Linked DNA regions of Schizosaccharomyces pombe. The protein of the gene in region 1 interacts with the protein of each later gene in a pairwise test. Each region holds a gene or a part of one and is shown on either strand. Other genes may lie near its edges.

The links.
Region 2: the proteins of cut15 (region 1) and alp7 interact in a two-hybrid assay, tested with the Schizosaccharomyces pombe proteins (one study listed by BioGRID).
Region 3: the proteins of cut15 (region 1) and omt2 interact in a two-hybrid assay, tested with the Schizosaccharomyces pombe proteins (2 studies listed by BioGRID).

Annotation. Positions count from the first base shown.
Region 1 is NC_003421.2:548,380-555,531, reverse strand, and holds cut15 (importin alpha family nuclear import signal receptor adaptor Cut15), read left to right. Parts: upstream 1-3,384; 5' UTR 3,385-3,430; coding exon 3,431-5,059; 3' UTR 5,060-5,977; downstream 5,978-7,152. Other genes in the region: XP-G family protein ast1, read right to left, coding at 1-667, 788-1,011; rps1201 (40S ribosomal protein eS12), read right to left, coding at 1,828-1,884, 1,967-2,347; survivin Bir1, read left to right, coding at 6,384-6,512, 6,560-7,152. UniProt on the Schizosaccharomyces pombe protein: Binds specifically and directly to substrates containing either a simple or bipartite NLS motif. Promotes docking of import substrates to the nuclear envelope. Seems to act as a cytosolic receptor for both simple and bipartite NLS motifs.
Region 2 is NC_003424.3:5,001,287-5,007,752, reverse strand, and holds alp7 (kinetochore-associated protein Alp7), read left to right. Parts: upstream 1-3,267; 5' UTR 3,268-3,557; coding exon 3,558-4,982; 3' UTR 4,983-5,353; downstream 5,354-6,466. Other genes in the region: ribosome biogenesis protein Ytm1, read left to right, coding at 1-580; serine/threonine protein kinase Ppk16, read right to left, coding at 782-2,632, 2,801-2,850, 2,918-3,011, 3,059-3,082; tbc13 (GTPase-activating protein), read left to right, coding at 5,777-6,466. UniProt on the Schizosaccharomyces pombe protein: Required for bipolar spindle formation and proper chromosome segregation. Has an indirect role in connecting the kinetochores and the plus end of pole to chromosome microtubules by targeting alp14 to the spindle pole body.
Region 3 is NC_003424.3:4,514,693-4,520,664, forward strand, and holds omt2 (4-alpha-hydroxytetrahydrobiopterin dehydratase), read left to right. Parts: upstream 1-2,755; 5' UTR 2,756-2,849; coding exon 2,850-3,140; 3' UTR 3,141-3,280; coding exon of another isoform or gene 3,281-3,604; 3' UTR 3,605-4,126; downstream 4,127-5,972. Other genes in the region: anaphase-promoting complex subunit Apc14, read right to left, coding at 3,281-3,604; etf1 (electron transfer flavoprotein alpha subunit), read left to right, coding at 4,354-5,379; Sm snRNP core protein Smd1, read right to left, coding at 5,846-5,972. UniProt on the Schizosaccharomyces pombe protein: Has a role in spore wall formation.

The DNA.
Region 1 (7,152 bases):
GCTAGGCAATTCCAATAACTGAGGTAACCATATCTCTGCTGGCTGTAGCTGTGAATTTAAGAGCTCCTGGACTCTTCCCCACATGAATGTATTTATAGTAGATGTTTCTAGCTTGAGGTCATTAAGCGAGTAGAATGCGTGAACGCGAGTCAATTCTTCTTTGGAAACTAACTTTTCGATAAATTTATCTTTTACAGAGTTCTCTAAGATTTTGCAAATATGCTCAAAGGTGTTGTGATAATCAATTACTAGGTCGAGAGGATGCCCTTCTACACCCAAATAGGCAGCAAGAATATGCAAATCGAAATGGAAATCTTTTTGTATTTCATCAAACCTGTATTTTCTTCCACTAATGCCGTTGGAAGTAACATCTAAAGACTGCAAGGGGATGTATCCATAGTGTGGTGTGTCTATATCATAAAGCAAGAAATCCGAGTCTTGACTTAAAATAACAGCATCAAGCTTTTTAGCTTGAAATGCACAATATTTATCTGCTTCTTCGTTACATACAATTACCTTGGCTTTAGCAAGTCCCATAAGCACATGTTGAGCAATTGGCACACAAAGATTTATATAAGCAGAACGTAGATCATTAATCTTTTGCTGATATCTATTGACTCTAACCTGGTGTTTGGAAAAGGGAAGTCCACCATCAAATATGTATTCTCTGTATGCGTTAGAAAGTGAATAAGTCAAAAAAAGGTCATTATGATAGTCCATAATGCAAACCACAAGAGGAGCTTCAATTAATTGAGGTATAAATTAAAAACTCTTCATTTATTCGTACATTTCTTTGAATCTCAACCTACTAAGCAAGTGGTGGAAATCCAATACTGCTTTCTGATATCCTTGAAAATCGGAGCAAACTATTCCTTGGGAAAACCAAAGCCAAAAAGCAAAAGAAGGTCCATCGATAACGAGACTGCAATTTAGAGGTACCTCTGGGTATGAAGAAAAATATACTGGTTTTCCAAATGGCTCCAAAAACCTTCCCAATCGAGGTACTCCCATGACTATTAGTACGAACAGTGCTCTTAAATCCAACACTCGAGGAGTAATAATCAAATTATTTCTTGAAGAGGAGAGTATTTCATTTATCGTGTTTTTTTATTAACGATAATTTTAAATATTCAAAGTAAGGATTTATACATGAACTATAACATTTGATGCAGTATCTCTCGCAGCGTTTTAAAAATTGAGTAGATTGGTAAATGGAAAATGTGAAAACTGCCTTTAATGACTGCTAGCTAACCAAAACTTGTAGGTTTCACTTTATAGAATTAGAGTTACTAACACAAGTTTATCTAGTTGGATTTGATGATTTATATTGAGGAAATGGTTGGCCGTTCAATTTCAAATTACATTGTATCCTTCATTAGCTCAAATGCAAAAATCGAACAACTCATCAAATTCATACATGCTGAAGTGATCGGACAAGAAAAAGCTTTGTCAAAAGCTAATGGATATGGTTTTTTTATAAGCCTCAAGTGTAAGTTTGTTTACATTAGCGTTTTTTATCATTTTAAAAAAGTAAGCATAATATTCAAGTCTTAGCAGCAGTTGAACAATATATGCTTTTTTCTCTATCATCAATACGCAAGGTGTCAGAAAAAAAACTGATTTCTTTTCTGACACAGGAATAAGGCGACAACCATCCTTTTATAAGGTGTTGAATAGCCAGAATGCTTTCGATTTATTTTGTGCTACTCAAAACTACACTCAACTCTCTGACTTCACTTTACAAAAACCTATTTACACACGAATTCTGAAGTAGAAAATAAATTTTTTTTAAATCCTTTCATATTGCTTCGTTTACCACTAGATAGTTTAGGCAGAGAAGCTTTCCAAAAGCTTTTGAAGAGCAGCGGAATCCTCACCATAGTCCTAAATTACATGTTAGTTAATCATATGCAAAATCAACAAGGAACAAAGCCTTTCACCTGCGCCAGGCTAAATTTAAACTTACGGTAACAGCAACACAAGAGCATCCAACAACCTTACGGGCATTACCGTCACGGTCAAGGACACAAAGGCCAGCCCATTCACCCAAAACCTTGGGGTCGGCAACCTTGATCAAAGGAGTCTCAGATTCAGCGCAAAGAGCCTCAACCAATTTAACATAAGCTTCTTGGTCACAGGACTCGCAAAGAACGCAAAGGTGAGCTTGACGGCGGTCAAGAGCCTTGGAAGCCTCGCGAATACCACGGGCAAGACCGTCGTGAACAAGGGCACGCTTCAAAACTTCCTTCAAAGCATCCTCAACGGAGACAGTTTCAGGAGCGGCAGCCTCAACTTCAACTTCTTCGACGACGTCAACTTGTTCAATTTGGTCTCCTTGTTCCGACATGGTGGTAACTTGTAAATTTCAGGATTTCGCGCACTCATTTCCTACGCTCTTCTTACCCAAAAAACAGTCACAAATAAATAGGGTACAAAATCACAATTCGGTAAAAGAACATTAAATCTTTAAGTTTTCTTCGTGTCACTATGCCACACACTAGTTATCGCTATTCCTTATTTAATTTTTTATAGCGTCCAAATACGCTATAATAACGATGCCTTGGTTCGTTTATCATACTTTGAAAGCTATGCAACACTAGTTGTTAGATAGTGAGCTACACCAACACTGCTAATAAACATTACGTTACGCATTAAAATACACTACATGGAGTACCAATTAATCTCAATTTATTGAATAATAGCAGAACGAGTGATGGCTGATGAAGTATATGGTGTTTTTTAATTTCAATTTATTCAAAGGATTATTCTTGAAAAGTTAACCGTGCTCTGTAAATGCGACCTCGACTAGGATGCAGGCCGTTATCTAGTATAGTAAAAGCTTTAACATTGCCCAAACAAATTGCTTATTTTTTTTGGAATAAGAAACGAAATCATCTAGTGCAAAATTAATTTTTAGATAAGAAAAAGATCATTTCATTCTTCACTGGAAGTGTTTAGCGCTACACAACAAGCATAGTTGTTGACATTACCAAATTCGTTTACACATGCAATTTGCAGACACTTTGCGAATACATAAAGAAGAGTTGCAGTCTTTAAAATGTATTTTATGGCTAGAGAATTCTGTTAAGCTGTATATTAGTTTCTTTTCTACACAAAATTGCCAAATACCCGCAAGCTTCAAAGATATACTGAAATAAACACTGGAAGCATTAACTATTTTTAAGAGAATGTTCACGAGCTCTCTAAATGGAAGAGTATAAAAATGAAATATATACATATATAAAAATATTTATACATAAAGGAGATTTATTTTAATAAGAAGATATATAATAGTTTTTTATGAATTATCTGGAGTATTCGCTATAATCATTACGAACGATTGATGAACTGGTCCATGACAGGAAATCAGCCAAGTGTAGACGTATCCTTCGCCATACGTTTAGAGAACGAGTAACTAAAGGAATTGAACATGAGTGCATCTTCTCGCTTTATTCCTGAACACAGAAGACAGAATTACAAAGGTAAAGGTACATTTCAGGCTGATGAGTTACGCCGCAGACGTGAAACCCAGCAAATCGAAATCCGTAAACAAAAACGTGAGGAAAATTTGAACAAGCGTCGTAATCTGGTTGATGTTCAAGAGCCTGCCGAAGAAACTATTCCATTAGAACAAGATAAGGAAAATGATTTAGAGTTGGAGCTTCAATTACCTGATTTATTGAAGGCGTTGTATTCGGATGACATAGAGGCACAAATTCAAGCTACTGCCAAGTTTCGAAAGGCTTTGTCTAAGGAGACAAACCCACCAATTCAAAAAGTTATTGATGCAGGCGTTGTCCCCCGCTTCGTCGAATTTTTATCTCATGAGAACAATTTATTAAAATTTGAGGCTTCTTGGGCTCTCACTAATGTGGCTAGCGGATCTTCCAATCAAACACACGTGGTTGTAGAAGCAAATGCTGTTCCTGTTTTTGTAAGCCTTTTATCTTCTTCTGAACAAGATGTACGCGAGCAAGCAGTTTGGGCATTAGGTAACATTGCTGGTGATTCACCCATGTGTCGTGATCATGTTTTGCAATGTGGAGTTTTGGAGCCTTTGCTTAACATAATCGAATCTAACAGGCGTCTTAGTATGCTCCGCAATAGTACTTGGACCCTGTCTAATATGTGCCGAGGCAAAAATCCACAACCCGATTGGAACAGCATTTCGCAAGTTATCCCTGTTCTGTCGAAATTAATTTATACCTTAGACGAAGATGTTTTAGTTGATGCCCTTTGGGCCATTTCCTATTTATCTGATGGCGCTAATGAGAAGATCCAAGCCATCATTGATGCAGGGATTCCTCGTAGGCTTGTTGAACTTTTAATGCATCCTAGCGCTCAAGTACAGACTCCTGCTCTCCGATCCGTAGGAAATATTGTTACAGGAGATGACGTTCAGACCCAGGTCATCATTAATTGTGGTGCTTTAAGTGCTTTACTTTCTTTGTTAAGCAGTCCACGCGATGGCGTTCGTAAGGAAGCCTGTTGGACAATTAGTAATATAACGGCCGGTAATTCTTCTCAAATTCAATATGTTATTGAAGCTAACATTATTCCTCCTTTAATTCATCTCCTTACGACCGCTGACTTTAAAATCCAAAAGGAAGCCTGCTGGGCCATTTCCAATGCCACATCCGGTGGCGCTCGTCGTCCCGACCAAATTCGCTACCTTGTAGAGCAAGGCGCAATCAAACCTTTATGTAATTTGCTGGCTTGTCAAGATAACAAGATTATCCAGGTTGCTTTAGATGGTATTGAAAATATTTTGCGAGTGGGTGAACTTGATCGCGCGAATAACCCTGATAAAATCAATTTATACGCCGTCTACGTTGAGGATGCTGGTGGTATGGATTTGATCCACGAATGTCAGAACTCATCTAATTCGGAAATTTACCAAAAAGCTTACAATATTATCGAAAAGTTTTTCGGTGAAGAAGACGAAATCGAAGAGCTTGAACCAGAAACCGTCGGTGATACGTTTACATTTGGAACTACACAAGAGCCTGCCGGCGATTTTCAATTTTCGGCGACTAATGCCGAAGATATGGCTATGTAATGATACTTCACATACATTATTCATTTATGCTTGTTTAGGTTTCGTTCTTTTTTAGATTGTTCATTTTCATAAACATCGAAGTGGCTTCATGATTTTGGCTGTGGTCCTGTGGTTTATAATATCGTTAAATTATTTCATTGAGCAATTGAGGATGCCGATTTTTTCATTTACCTTTACGTGTATGGCGCGATTGTTATTAGACGAGATTATTACATTTTAGGAGGTTTACCTAGACATACATTCCGCAGTTGTCACTCTTCTCATTTTGTTATATTGTTGTTTAATGATTGTGCTGGAAAGTTGAACATCTTGTACTTGTTAAATTATTTCTCAAGTCCGTCCTGAGTGTGCGTGTCGAAACGAACTTTTGTTTACTTTTTTTCATTCACTTTCTAACCAACGAATGGTTTATAGATCGTGGTTATTTTGTGAGTTTATTATTTGTTTTATTGACGAAACACAGGAATCATTCAACAGTTTTGGTCTTTGTTGTCGATTTAGTTGTAGCTTTTGGCTGCTCCACTACTAGATACAGGTTTTGTACCTTTGAAACAACATGGGACTAATTCAATTAATTTATTTTACATTGTCTTCATGATTGTACTTCCTCTATTGCTTAACTTTTATTTGAGGTTTTAGGAAGTTCAATATTTCCACCGCATTTGTCATCCTCTTTTCAACTTTTTTCTAATGAGACAGCTGATTCATCATTGTATTCATAACTTTGACCATCGCATCGAAAGAGGAAAATGAAATCAGATTTGTCTTGTTGATATGCATAGTTTCCTTTGAATAGCCATGAAAATGTAGCCTTATTCTTCTTTCACGATGCTCCATACTTTAGAGTTGGAGCTTTAATATTATTATATGTAACAATATTAGTACCAAACTATGATACATTACTTTGTGCTAGCAAAAATCTTCTAGTTAAATTTTGAATTTATTAACAAAGATCATAAGGCTGACATTAAAGACAATAATTGAATCTTCCTTACTCAATATAATATCTAAACCTAGTCATCTCGAAAAATTTGTAACCAGTGAACCTTCCATTTATTAAAGTCTGCTATACTACTTAACGACATTTTACGCAATATAACGACATTGTTCAATTACAGTAAACTCGTGTGCCCTAGCAATCTACAAAAAGTAAACATTACCCATATACGCCTTGCGAGGCGACCTTCCCTATCCTATGCATTTGGAAGTATCTGATATTGTCTAAAGACAATAACCAGAAGTTTTAAAAAAATTAATTTTATAGTTTTAAGGATCGGAAGTCGAAATTTGGTATCTAAATTTCACTTGTTGAAGCTTGCTCAGAATGAAACCGATAACGTCTTCTTCTAAACGCCGATGGAATCGGTTTCGAAGGGAAATGTGTAATTACTCTAAACGACTTGACACTTTCCAGAAAAAAAAATGGCCGCGAGCCAAACCGACGCCAGAAACTGTATGTTGACGATAGAGTTTTCATCTGTGTTGCTAACAAGAAAATAGCTTGCTACTGTCGGTTTCTATTACAATCCAATCTCTGAATCTAATTCTGAAGAAAGACTTGATAATGTTACATGCTATATGTGTACCAAGTCATTTTATGACTGGGAGGATGATGATGATCCATTGAAAGAGCATATTACTCATAGCCCCAGCTGTCCATGGGCATATATTTTATCCTCAAAAAACAATCCAAACCAGAACCCCCAAGCTGCAGCTCTCACAAAATGTCGAGAACAAACTTTTGTTGATAAAGTATGGCCGTATACCAATCGCCCTGATTATCACTGTGAGCCGAGTGTAATGGCTGCTTCTGGTTTTGTATACAATCCAACTGCTGATGCTAAAGATGCAGCTCATTGCTTATATTGTGATATTAATCTTCATGATTGGGAACCGGATGATGACCCTTACACCGAGCACAAACGCCGTCGTGCGGACTGTGTGTTTTTTACATGGAAAGACCCAAATAGCTTATCTCCTACTAAACTGTCTTTTTTATCTACGTCGAACATTGACCCTGAAGACTTGACCGAGGATAATTCCATTCTTCCCGTTTCTCCCACCCGAGATTCAACAAAATCTCATAAAACTTT
Region 2 (6,466 bases), on another chromosome or scaffold:
AAATGCAGAATTCACACCTCAAGCTGGGGCTCGCTCTCCGCTGATCCTTTGTGAGGGGCATACTGGACCGGTGATGGATATCGTCTTTTCTGATGATCCAAGTGTTGCATATTCCGTAGGCCAAGATCACACAATTAAGACTTGGGATCTCATTACTGGGCAAAATGTTGATTCCAAGATAACCAAAGCTCCTCTTTTATGCGTGGAAAAACTTACTGACCTACACTTAGTCATTTGTGGTTCCTCTGCGCGACACATTGTTGTTCACGACCCTCGAGCGGGAAGCGACAAAATTGTGAGTCATACTTTATCCGGCCACAAGAATTTAGTTTCCGGATTATCGGCAAGCCCAGAAAATCCCTATATGTTTGCATCCGTCTCTCACGATAACACTTGTCGTGTTTGGGATGTCCGTGCTACATCCGGCAGTATTTACACAATTTCTAGAGCAGAAAAAACAGGCTCTCAGTGGGATAAACTTTTCGCTGTTGATTGGAATAAATCCATTGGTATTGTTACGGGAGGTACTGACAAACAACTTCAAATCAATCAATCCTCATCCTTTGGAAAAAGCGAATGAAAAAAGATGTAGCATAAAAAAAATTGACAGATTATGATTTAGTGTGGTACAAGCGGGATAAGTTAAGGAACAAGGTCATTACTACTAGAGATTAAAAGTTTGATTAAATTATTTAAGAGAACACTTTATTAAAGCAAAATAAGTTAATAATTCAAATTATACACACCACGTAGCTTAGTAATCGTGTAATAAACTTAAGCTTCAGAGCAAGTCTGTGAAATGTTTTGAAGAGTCTGAAAAACTGGTTTCTTCCGGCTCCTCTTCCTCTTTGACTGAGCTTTGATTAAACATCAGAGAGGAAGATGATTGCGGGTTTTTTCTACCAGAACCAACTGTAAAAATTGCAGTAGCATTTATACGAGTGTTAAATGGCTCTCCGGAAGGAAAATGGAAACTTTTGTGCAATCGTTCAAAAGGAGAATGAAAAGGTGTTTGCCTTTGAACGGTCGAACTGGAAGGTTTAGATGAAATAATAGAAATTAAAGAATTTGAAGATGCAGAAGAGACGTTTGAATAGGATCTAGTACGGGATGAATTCCTCGAAGAAGCAACGGAAGAACGCCCAGACAAGCTGCGTATGGGAGTTCGTGATCGTCGAGTCGGCTGGGGAGATATGACAGTATTTTGCAGAGGAGAAGGTGGAATATCAATATTAATTGAGAGGTTCGAACTTTTAGAAGGGCTATTTTGAGAGTTCGAGGGGAAGGTAAAGTCTTTATTACCGTCGAGGTTTACCGTTTTTAAAAGAGGAGGAGTGAATGGTGTGTTTTGCTCACCTGTATCAACGTGCGTTGTTTGAGGAAGATTTGAGTGTCTTCTTCCAAAACTGTTAATCGAAGGAAACACGGTAAGGTTCTCAACTGAATTGTCTAAAGACTCAGATAAATTATCGGAATCAAAATTTTCTTGAGTTAAATAGTTTTCAGCCGAAGGACTAGGTGTTCTTGGTCTAATTGCTGATGAGCTTAACGTATCAGCAGTATGCTTTTGTTTAGGATCGAATAACCAACTACGAAATGTAGAAAGCAAAGAATTACTTGAATCTGACGATGTATGCCGACTTTTTAAAGAATCCTGATTGTTGGACATAACAGAAACTTGAGCGGTTTTTAATGATGGAGTTGCTGGAGCTATGTGTACAGCCGAAGATGAACCTTTATGTAAATGAAACAAACCTTTCTTTTTTTTGTTTTCCTTACGCATTTCTTTTTCTAGTAATAAAAGCCACCATCCATAGAACATGTCACAGCGCTGTTGTGAGATGCTGGCATTAAGTTGATCCATGTCAACACCAACAAATTCAAGCCTTTTACGAACTTTTTCCTCTGCTTTCGAGGAAGGCCTTGGGTCTCGAATAGAAGATGAATGATATCCATTTTCCTTGAAATAGGGGTGAGAGATGATTTGATCGATAGAGGGTCGAAGTCGGTAATCCTTGCAAAGGAGGGATTTCAACAAGCTTGAAGAGTTTTTGGAGAGTGTTTCAGGATATTGAGGACATTCATTGATAATTTTTTGCTCAGTTAAAGATACATCGTCCTCGTCGAACGGGAGCCTTCCTATTAAGAGAGCGTACATAATTATACCCAGAGACCATATATCAACGCATTCACCAATATATTTATGGCCCTGTACTAGCTCCGGAGCACAATAAGCAACTGTACCACAACGTGTGTTCATAAATGTTCTACGGGAACAATCAGAATCTCTAGAAAACCCAAAGTCTCCAAGCTTAACATTGTAGGCTTTATCTAGAAAAATATTTTCGAGTTTAAGGTCACGGTGAACACAGCCTTGTCTATGTAAATACTGAATAGCACAGCATAGCTGCCACATGATACGGCAAGTGGTCTTTTCATCCAGCCTTTTTTCTCTCGCTACCCAGTCATACAATTCACCATTTGGACAATACTCCATGGCAAGATAAATTCGGTCTTCGGTGCATACTACTTCATAAAGCCTCGTGATGTTTGGATGAAGAAGACGCCGATGATGATGAATTTCTCGAGCAAGGATAATCGCTTGTTTCCTGCAAGATGATTTCAGGACAACCTTTAATAAAAATGTTAGCAAGGTACAATCAATTTATTGATGAATAAAACGTTTATCATTCTCATAATGTAATCAACCGACTTTGGAACGGTCAATATTCGCAATTTACGAGCCGTTTATTCTTCTTTTTATAACTTAGAGACATAGTAATCTTTGAATAACCCATACCTTTGTATTTGTCAGTAAATGAGCTGCCAAATAAACTTTTCCAAAGCTGCCTACAACCCATGCTTGTTAGATAGCCGTCCAGTATTGAGCGTTCACAATAACACAAAAGTATCGTACCTTCACCGACAACACTCTCAATGCGATATGTACCGACATCAGAGATACGAGGATTGCAAATTGTTGCAATTAGGTCATTGTATGAGGCCGATATCTGCCATTCATTAGATAATCACGATTTCCCTCTTTTCATATACATACGTTTGCCTTTTCATTTTTCTTCATACTAAAATTTGGCACACATAATATCAAAGGTTGACTTGCAAATTGTTTAGTGTTTACAGTAGGATACTTTGGTGTTATTACAAAGGCTTCGGAGAACAAGCTACCGAAAATTCACCGAGAGCTCGGTGAACTCTTCCCACTCTCTCCTTACTCAGTGTAAACCAGTATGTATGTGCCTTTTATTTACACCACCATTGTACGCCTAGTGTTGAATCAAGACGAAGAATTGAGGGCAATAAGGGGTTATTTATTGGGCATTGTATGACTCAAGTTTGTTATTGAACCATTGTTCTACGTAGGCGGACATCTGACCAGTTTTCAAAAAGTAAAAATAAAAGTTAGCTACTGATCGTTAACTTTGAAACGATAATACCAGCTGTAAAATATTTGAAAAAGGATTTTCTTGTGTATTTATATTTCATATATCTGTTAGTTCTTTATATCGTTTGACGATTTTAAAAAGTCATAACCGAAAATGAGTGATATCGTTTCGAGCTCTACAGATTACAGTAGGAGGTCTCCCTCCTCATCTAGTATTGGGACAAATGAAACTGATCATACGGGTTTTCATGAAAAAAGGCAAGGTGCCTCTTCAGAATCATTGATTCCTCCAGCTCAACGAAGTTCAGAGGAATCCATGCCTGCCCCTAAATTATTCCCTAAGTTAACTTCTAAACCCAATCCACAGCTGAATTTAAAGGATACTCTTAATAAGCGAGTAAGCGATCGACTACAAGCCTTAGAGTTGAATAAATCTTTTGATTTTTCAGGAACCCCTAGACCGATGCATCCCATATCCCATCCTTTGTCACAGCATAAAACGCCAGAATTTAAGCATAGAAAAAGAAATGTAGAATCTATTTTGACGCCGAAGAATCCTTCTTTATTTTCATCGTCCAATGCGGCCTCCCAACGAGGCTCTTTAAATACCGCTCCATCTAATTTTGCATACAGTCATTCATCATCTTTGCAAACATCAGCTAGTTCTAGGCCCCCAGTGCTTTCAAACGGAAGCTTCCCACGTCAAACTAATACGGCGCCGTTGAACCCACCAGTGCATTTGAAAGACAACATTCGCAACTCTGCTACACCATCAACTTCACAGGCCGATATACCTACTCAATACCCAATTAATTCCACTCAAAAGCAGCAAGCGAAATACGAAGCTGAAATAGAGGGCTACAAAGCCAAACTTGCTGGCACTTATCATGAAATTTCCGTACTCCAAAATACAATCGTCAATGTTTCGGGACAATTGATTGCCGTTAATGACCAACTTCAGCAACTTAGATCTGGAAAAGCATCGACTAGTCCCTCCACAAAGGATACCAACATGAGACTTGTTGAAGGGCATAATGAAGAGACATTAGCTCTTCAGAGAGGTAAATATACTCAAGAGGAAGTTGACAAGTTAATTCAAGAACGCATGGAAAAAGTTGCTGAAGATTTACATGCTCAGTACTCAGCCAAGCACACTCAGAAAATTAATGCTTTCAAAGCCAATTATGCTCGAAAATACGAGGCAACTATACAGGAGCTTCAAAATCAAATCGGTACTGCTCCTAATGCTCCAAAAATATCCAACAGTAACTGGGAGGAAGAAAGGCGAGCATTGAAAGCAGACAATCAGACTCTCCAAAAACAGCTGGAGAAAGCCATTCAAGAGCGCCAAGATATGTCAGATTTTTTGAACAATTTTAAAGCTGATATGGCGAAGAGTGATAAGTTACTAATGCAACAACAATCACAACAGACAGGTGATTTGGAAACACTTCGTTTACAACTGCAAGCGCTTCAAGAAGAGCTCCGGGTCGAAAGGGAGGAACGACAACAGTTGATACAAATGAGCGAGGACTTGGTAATTGCAATGGATCAACTGAATTTGGAGCAAAAATCATGATCTGCGCTTTCATTTTTGATAAAAACAATCTCCATAATTTTTTTTTTTTTTTTGATAGAGTATTGCTAATGTATTGATGCCGTTTCCTTTATCCAAACCACTTCTGTATTCTCATGATTAATTTAGTTTCATATTGATGACCCCAGTTTCATGAATACAACCCGAATTCTTTTGATTTCCATTAATTAAGCCTTCTTTTATGGTTATACATTATCTACCAATTTTCGTATATTTATACATCATAACAGTTCGATATACAACCTAATATAAATTGCATATCCACTCTTTCTTCTTTTATTTGTATTATAGATAGAATCAAAACTGGAGCCAATCTCAAGGCTAATTTCTCACATACATACATTAGAAAACGGTGCATTTATTTAATAAATATCCAATTATTATTAATTGCTCGTTCTAGGTGCTGTTTAAACCAAATATTTCTTTCCTGGTCTGTATGTTGCACCTACATCAATCTTACCTATACTGTACATCTACTAAGGACGTTCATTACTCTGTACTTTCCTACAGTATTTGATTAGGGAAGTATTGTTAAGAAGGAAATTAGTATAAAAAATAAGTCAGAAAATTTAGTCGGTTCTTAAACTTGCATTCAATTTTAGTAGCTAACTTAGTTCCATCATCCACGTGTGAAACAGGCTACTGAACACACCAATTGCGCTCTCCTTTTCTTCATATATTTAATTTTCAACAGTAATATTTTATATATGATAATATAACTAAATTGGATATAGTCAAACTACATAATATCTTATTTGAATCGCTTCTAGTTTATTATGGACTATAAGCAACGCATTGAAAAATTTAAAGACATTTTAAATTCGGAAGAGCCAATTTCTCTCCCTGGTTTATGCTCGCTTTGTATTCAAGGAATTCCTGATGAATATTCACTTAGGGCAAAAGCTTGGATGTTGATGCTTGAGTTCCTTCCTACCGATAGATCAAACTGGCAATCAGTTCTAGAAAAACATCGAAAAACTTATACATCTTTCGTTCAAGAGCTTCTTATTGATCCTTGGAGGAAACTAACTCTACACGAGGAATCAGGCGAAAACAGTGACCATCCTTTAAATACTAGTGATGATTCAAAATGGAAGGAATATTTCGATGACAATCAAATACTTGAACAAATTGATAAAGATATTCGTCGGACTCTCCCCGATTTATCGTTCTTTCAAGGAAAATCTGAGATCAACAAGAAACCTTCAGTCAACAATGTCAGTGAGAACATTAGTGTAAACACAGAAGACGATAAAGTTGAAGAAGTTGGACAGAAACTCAACTATACCAAAATAACTTCAATTGATCAAAGCCAAGAAACACCGGTCCATTTATCAACGATTGACTTTTCCAAATTTCAAGAAGAATGTCATCTTGTGCTACAAGGTCGAATTTATCGTCTTGAAAATGAATCGACTAGTTCATCTACAACAGCTCTCAGTACTCCTCGACAAAGCATGGATTCA
Region 3 (5,972 bases), on another chromosome or scaffold:
AAAGATAATTACAACAATCTGTCCGGCCGGATTGCTGGAGGAAGGATGGATTGTATGTTGGGAATAATGAGAGGGCTTGGATGCTTTATAATGAGATACAGTAATTAGAGAACAAAGAAGTTATTTCAAAGAAATCACAAAGTCAAAAAGGACTTTATTTGCTCGCAAATATTACGACAATTACTGGGAGAATGCTTGATTGAATGGGACGTACTGTTTATGCTACCCCTGCCTTTGTCCCGTGTAACACAAAGTGGGAAGAGTAACAAAGAAACGAAGTAAGCCAAGTAAACAAAGAATCTCAACAGCAGCTTTCAGTGGCGAAAACAAAGCGTTGAAAACAAAGGGAATCAACGAAATTTATAGACCTACGATGAAAATTTCAGTAGCCTTTACTGTTAGGCATTTACTGTGAACGTTTTTGCAATGCCCCTGAGGGGCTAGCTCGAGAAGGGTTTGTAAAACAAAGAAACTTTAAAATAGGAACAAAGAAATCGGTCGGCTTTCGTTACTCTATCTAAAGTTATGATGCGATGTCAGTAAGCTCTAATATAAGAGGACGATAATGGAAAAAAAATCCCATAAAAAGCGGGACAACTGATCCAATTTGGACAGATTGAAAGCCAACGCGACTCGCGTTAGATAGAGTAAATAGCGAGAAACGCTAAATGCATTTTCTTTTATGGTGTTTGCTTTGTCTACTGAAGCAAAAGGCTATTTATTCAAATCAGTGGTAATTAGTGTATAGCTTGTAAAGGTAAGTTAGTCCTTTTGAAAGTTTGAAAAAGATGATAGATAAAAAACAACGTTGTATCCATCCCGAAAAACATGGACAAGTCAAAGAAATCACATTTTTTATTTGCCTTCATTAGTGTAGTAATCTCCACCTTGCTGTATAATTCGGTAAGGATTTCTTTTGTTATTTACGCGTGCTTTTTTCCATACATCTTTTTTCGCCAATGCAAAACCCTCTTTTAACAGTGTTTCTTCTTTCAACCCTTATTCAGCGCATGCGTCTCCTATATTTGCGCGTTTTACACAGAGGTCGTTTGACATCCAGATTGTTCTCTGGCATGAAAGATAACTACATCATTTAATATTAGCAACTTGCTCACTTTCTTTTCTTTTCACATAAACTATAAAGCTGTTCGGCAATTAAAATTCCCCACTGAAATCCAATTAGCCAACGATCAAACTAGATCGCATTTATTGAGTGATTTGAAAACAATGCTTTATGCGCAAAAGTGGAGAAGGTAAATGTAGACAACCTCACGTTTTTGTTTATAAACATTAGTAAACGCCGCATTCGATTTTAATGTATCACGTATAAATCGGTAAATATGTGTGTACCACGGTTGTAGAAGTGCTCGAAGACAAGTAAGAAGGAAGCATTAATAACTTTTGGCAATTAAAAAGAGGTTGGGAATTCAGAACAAAAAAAGAGTAAAAGCGATATATTTATTCTATTCCAAAAGATTTGTATGCATGTATAAGAGATTTTAAGGCTGATGATGGTTTTTGATTATACTTTGGGTTTACATTATTTTTGTTTTGTTCTGTTTTGTTTGTTTTGTTTTGCTTTCGTATACACTCTATTTTTTTTTAAACGTAAAATGATCATTAGCGATGTTGCTTCAGTAAAGCGAGAGTCAGTGAACAATGGTTAGATTAAAGCTTTGCTGAGTAAATATTTTTTGGCTTTCTTATTAAAGGTCTTATAAGAAACATATGTGTATTTTTTGTTTTATTGCTTAGCCAGTTTACTATTTTTGGGACAATGCGTTTCGTAAACGTTTATGATGTTTGATGTACGTGACGAATTGTTCAAAAGTTAAATTTTGAGGTTTAAAAAAAATGAAGGCCTGAGAAACCGCTTCTATCTCTATGGTTGTTTATATCACCAACAAATGTCAATTGAGAATTTGAGGAAAGAACAGAAACCTAAGAGGAATCTTGTTCTTAAAGGATGAAAAATCAACATGACAATTCCTTCATTTTATACATCTTGGAAGCGAAACACAAGAAGGGGTGAAAGGAAGTTGAAGAGCTTGAAAATGTCAGTCAGCAAAGGAATTCCACAATTTTTTTGATAAGTGACGTGAAAGAAACCTTTTGAGTTTGGTTTCAATGCTTCATGCTTCTCGAGAAAAGAGGCGGTCTTGGGTTTTTATAATTTTGTGTTTGAAGGTCCCATTTGATATTTGGAATGTTGCTGCAGTGAAACCTAACTGTTTACAAGTATTTTTATTTTTATTCATAAATGTCTCGTAAGCTAAGTCTCACCTTTTCTCTTATGCAAACAGGAGGTTATTTGATTATAGTTATCGAATAAATGGATGATTGATCCATGTATAAAATGATATTGTTAATGGTATTGATATCTTGTTTTAAAACATGTTTGTTACTTATAGAAGCACTATGTGTTGAAGCCAAGTCGATAAACTTTTAAAAATTAGGAAGTGTTCCATGAATAAAATATTTTAACATTAAAAAGAGCGAATGACTATTTACCCATAAAAACTGATGGATAAAATGCTACAAGACCAAACCAAGCATATTTTATTTATTTTGGAAATAAAACTAGGAAACTGTTTATACAATTAACAAATATAATTCTAATGCTCCTCTGTAGAAGAGGTTCTTTTAGCGTAGTAGCTAAATTTACTCTTTTGATGTTGTGAATAAGACAAGACGATATGATTTCGTTCTCTTTCACATACCAAAGTAAAAGGAGGTAAATTGAGTGTATTAAAACAGTTACGTTCTACACACATCACATTGATATTTTACCTAAATTTTGAAGAAAAACATTTTTTCTGGAATAAACGTTGGTTTAGAAGGTTGAAAAAATGAACACATCAGCTAGATTACTGGCGTTAGTCTCGAAATCAAAAAACAACTGGATTCTTCAACAAGGAGATACAAAACTATTTAAAAGCTTTCGTTTTAAAAACTTCATTGAAGCTTGGGGATTTATGAGCTGTGTCGCATTGCGTGCACAACAGCTAAATCATCATCCCGAATGGACTAATGTATACAATAAAGTGGATATTACGTTGACAACTCACGATACAAAGGGACTTACAGAAAAAGATTTAAAGCTGGCAGAATTTATTGATACACTTGCAAAGGATAACTGAAAGCTGCAACCAAGAGGGTAGTAGCGGAAAACTATCTTGAGACACAGATTGCCAGAAATTATTCTTAATATTTTGAATTAATTTAGTGTTTAGTGATGTGGTGTTTGAAAGGATAAGAATTTATATCATAAACTCATTAATCACCATTCAGCCAACTGGTCAAGTTGTTGAACATGTTTTGTCAGATGCTGCATAATAGCTTGCCTGTATTCTGGAATAGAACTTCTGCTGGAAGCAATTCTGGATATTGCAATTCTACTTGCCCTTTCATTTCTTTCTTGCTCGGCCTCTTCACCACCTATAACATCTCGATAATTCCAAAATTCAATGGCTTTTGAAGCTTCAGGGAGTAGAAGTGGTTTCTTGGCGAGAGGTTTTGGGTTGCCAGACATGGAGAGTCTTTGAAAGACGTTTCCAAAAGTTCGATAACTTTTGGACTGACCAGTACCAGCAAACGGATCCATATGACCTCGAAACGTTTTAATATACAAAAGTAAAAAAAACCCCCGTGAGTACTAAGAGACAATGACTTCAATCATTGATTTGTTCTTCTTTAAAAGAGAACCGTTTAAATATGAAAATTGTAATCTCTTTTGTATTTAAGCAGTAAGTGAAGAGGTTTGGACAAGTGATTAGGAAATTTCACCGATTTTCTTGTTTATTTACTATCTTGTGTGCGTAGTTGAACAAAACTCCTTGCCATCGTTAGAAAGCAATGCTTGTGGTATAAGAATGTGGAGTGTGTTATTAAAATAAAATAGTGAAGTCACCTTTTGTCTCCTAATATCTTAGTGAACTTTAACGTTGATGAACGATTCAATAACTGTAATGCTAAGAAGGATACATTGAGTTTCTCATATTTTTTTTTATTTGAAAAGAATTTTCATTATTATTATTTTTAATGATGCACCTAGTTATTGCAATCGCTATAGACTTTAAACTTTGTATTGAAAGAATTTGTCAAAATATTGGCAGTTGGTTATCAAAAAAAATAAATGTAAGGTATATGAAAATTAGGATGTTTTCATACTCACGAAAAATCATTTCTGGTAGATAAATCACTTAAATATATCACGATTACTTATTTTTAGTTATTTTACCTTTGAAATGTAAGACTGTATTACTTAAGTTTTTTCTTAGTATAATATGTGAACATACATATTGTCAGCGTACATCCTCATTCACCCTCAAACCTACAACGAAGTATTCTAACATGCTAAGGACTACTAGCCGGACATTTTCTAGGGCTTTGTCTTCTTCTAACTTTAAAATAAATTGTGGAAGAAGGCATTGGTTTAGTGTTTTGACGTTGCTTGAGCATCAGGGAGGGAACTTGTCTCCAGCATCCTTGTCAGCAGTAGAAGCAGCAAAGCGTACCGGTGGGGATGTTTTTGGATTTGTAATCGGTAAGGATTCTTCTCAAATTTCTCAAAAGGTAGCAAAATCGGTGAACGATTTGAAAAAGGTTATCTACGTTGAGAATCCGTCATATGAGCATAACATTCCCGATCAAATAGCCAATGTTCTTTTTGAAAATGTTAAGAAAAATGAAATTAGTCATGTTTTTTCTGCTCATTCAACTGTTGGTAAAGGGGTGATGCCTCGTTTGGCTGCTATGTTTGATGTGATGCAGATTAGTGACATTATTGGTGTGGTTTCTGCTGACACATTCGTTCGTCCGACATACGCGGGAAACGTAAACGTTACTGTGTCTACAAAGGATCCTATTAAAATCGTCACCGTTCGTGCATCTGCATTTGACGCCGCTCCTTCAAGTGGTGAAGGAGCAGCCACTGTTGTTGAAGGTATTGATCCAAAACCAGCTGCTCTACAAGAATGGGTTAGTGAGAATATTATAAAGAATGCTAGGCCTGATTTGTCTTCTGCCGAAAGAGTTGTTGCTGGTGGTCGACCTTTGAAAGACAAAGAGACATTTGAACGCATCCTTACACCTTTGGCTGACAAATTGGGTGCAGCAATTGGTGCTACACGTGTTGCCGTGGATTCTGGCTATGCTGATAATTCTTTACAAATAGGTCAAACTGGAAAAATCATCGCCCCAAAGCTTTATATTGCTGTTGGAATTGATGGTGCTATTCAGCATCTTGCCGGAATCAAAGATAGCAAAGTCATTGCTGCTATAAATCGCGATGAAAATGCTCCTATCTTTCAAACAGCAGATGTGGGAATTGTAGGTGACTTATTTGAAATCGTCCCGGAGCTTACTGAAAAACTTTGAAAATCATGTTGAGGAATGATTCCTTATTTTTCATAATATCACATTTATTTCAAATTTCACATCTTTTTAGAAGTTAATAAAATACACGTTTATTTAACTGGGTACTCGTAATAAATTAAGGAAATTTTTGATGTAATATTTAATTATATACCAGTGAAACAACTCTGAAGTCGTTTTATACATACATTTATGAAGCCACCTCAGCAAAGCTATCGTAGGTTGATTATCAAACATTTCAACGTATGAGAAAGAAAGGGATTTTTTTAGCGGTCTAGATATTTAACCAGAGATAAATGATAGAAACATGGAAAACATAGAATACGCATACACTCTCAGCAATACTTCAATGTCATCACAAAGCAAATCTATTAAAAGAAAATAAAATGCAAAGGCCGATTGATATTGCCAATAATTTTAAATTCTCTGACAAAAATAAGGGTGCGAAAAGAGAATATTTTCATAATATTTAAAACCCACGAGAAGCACCGCGGCCTCTGCCTCTAGTTCCACGGCCACGTCCACGTCCACGACCTCGTACTACCTCTTTCTTCTTTTGTTTTGGCTTTGTGCTATCATCAATTAAAAGGGTATCA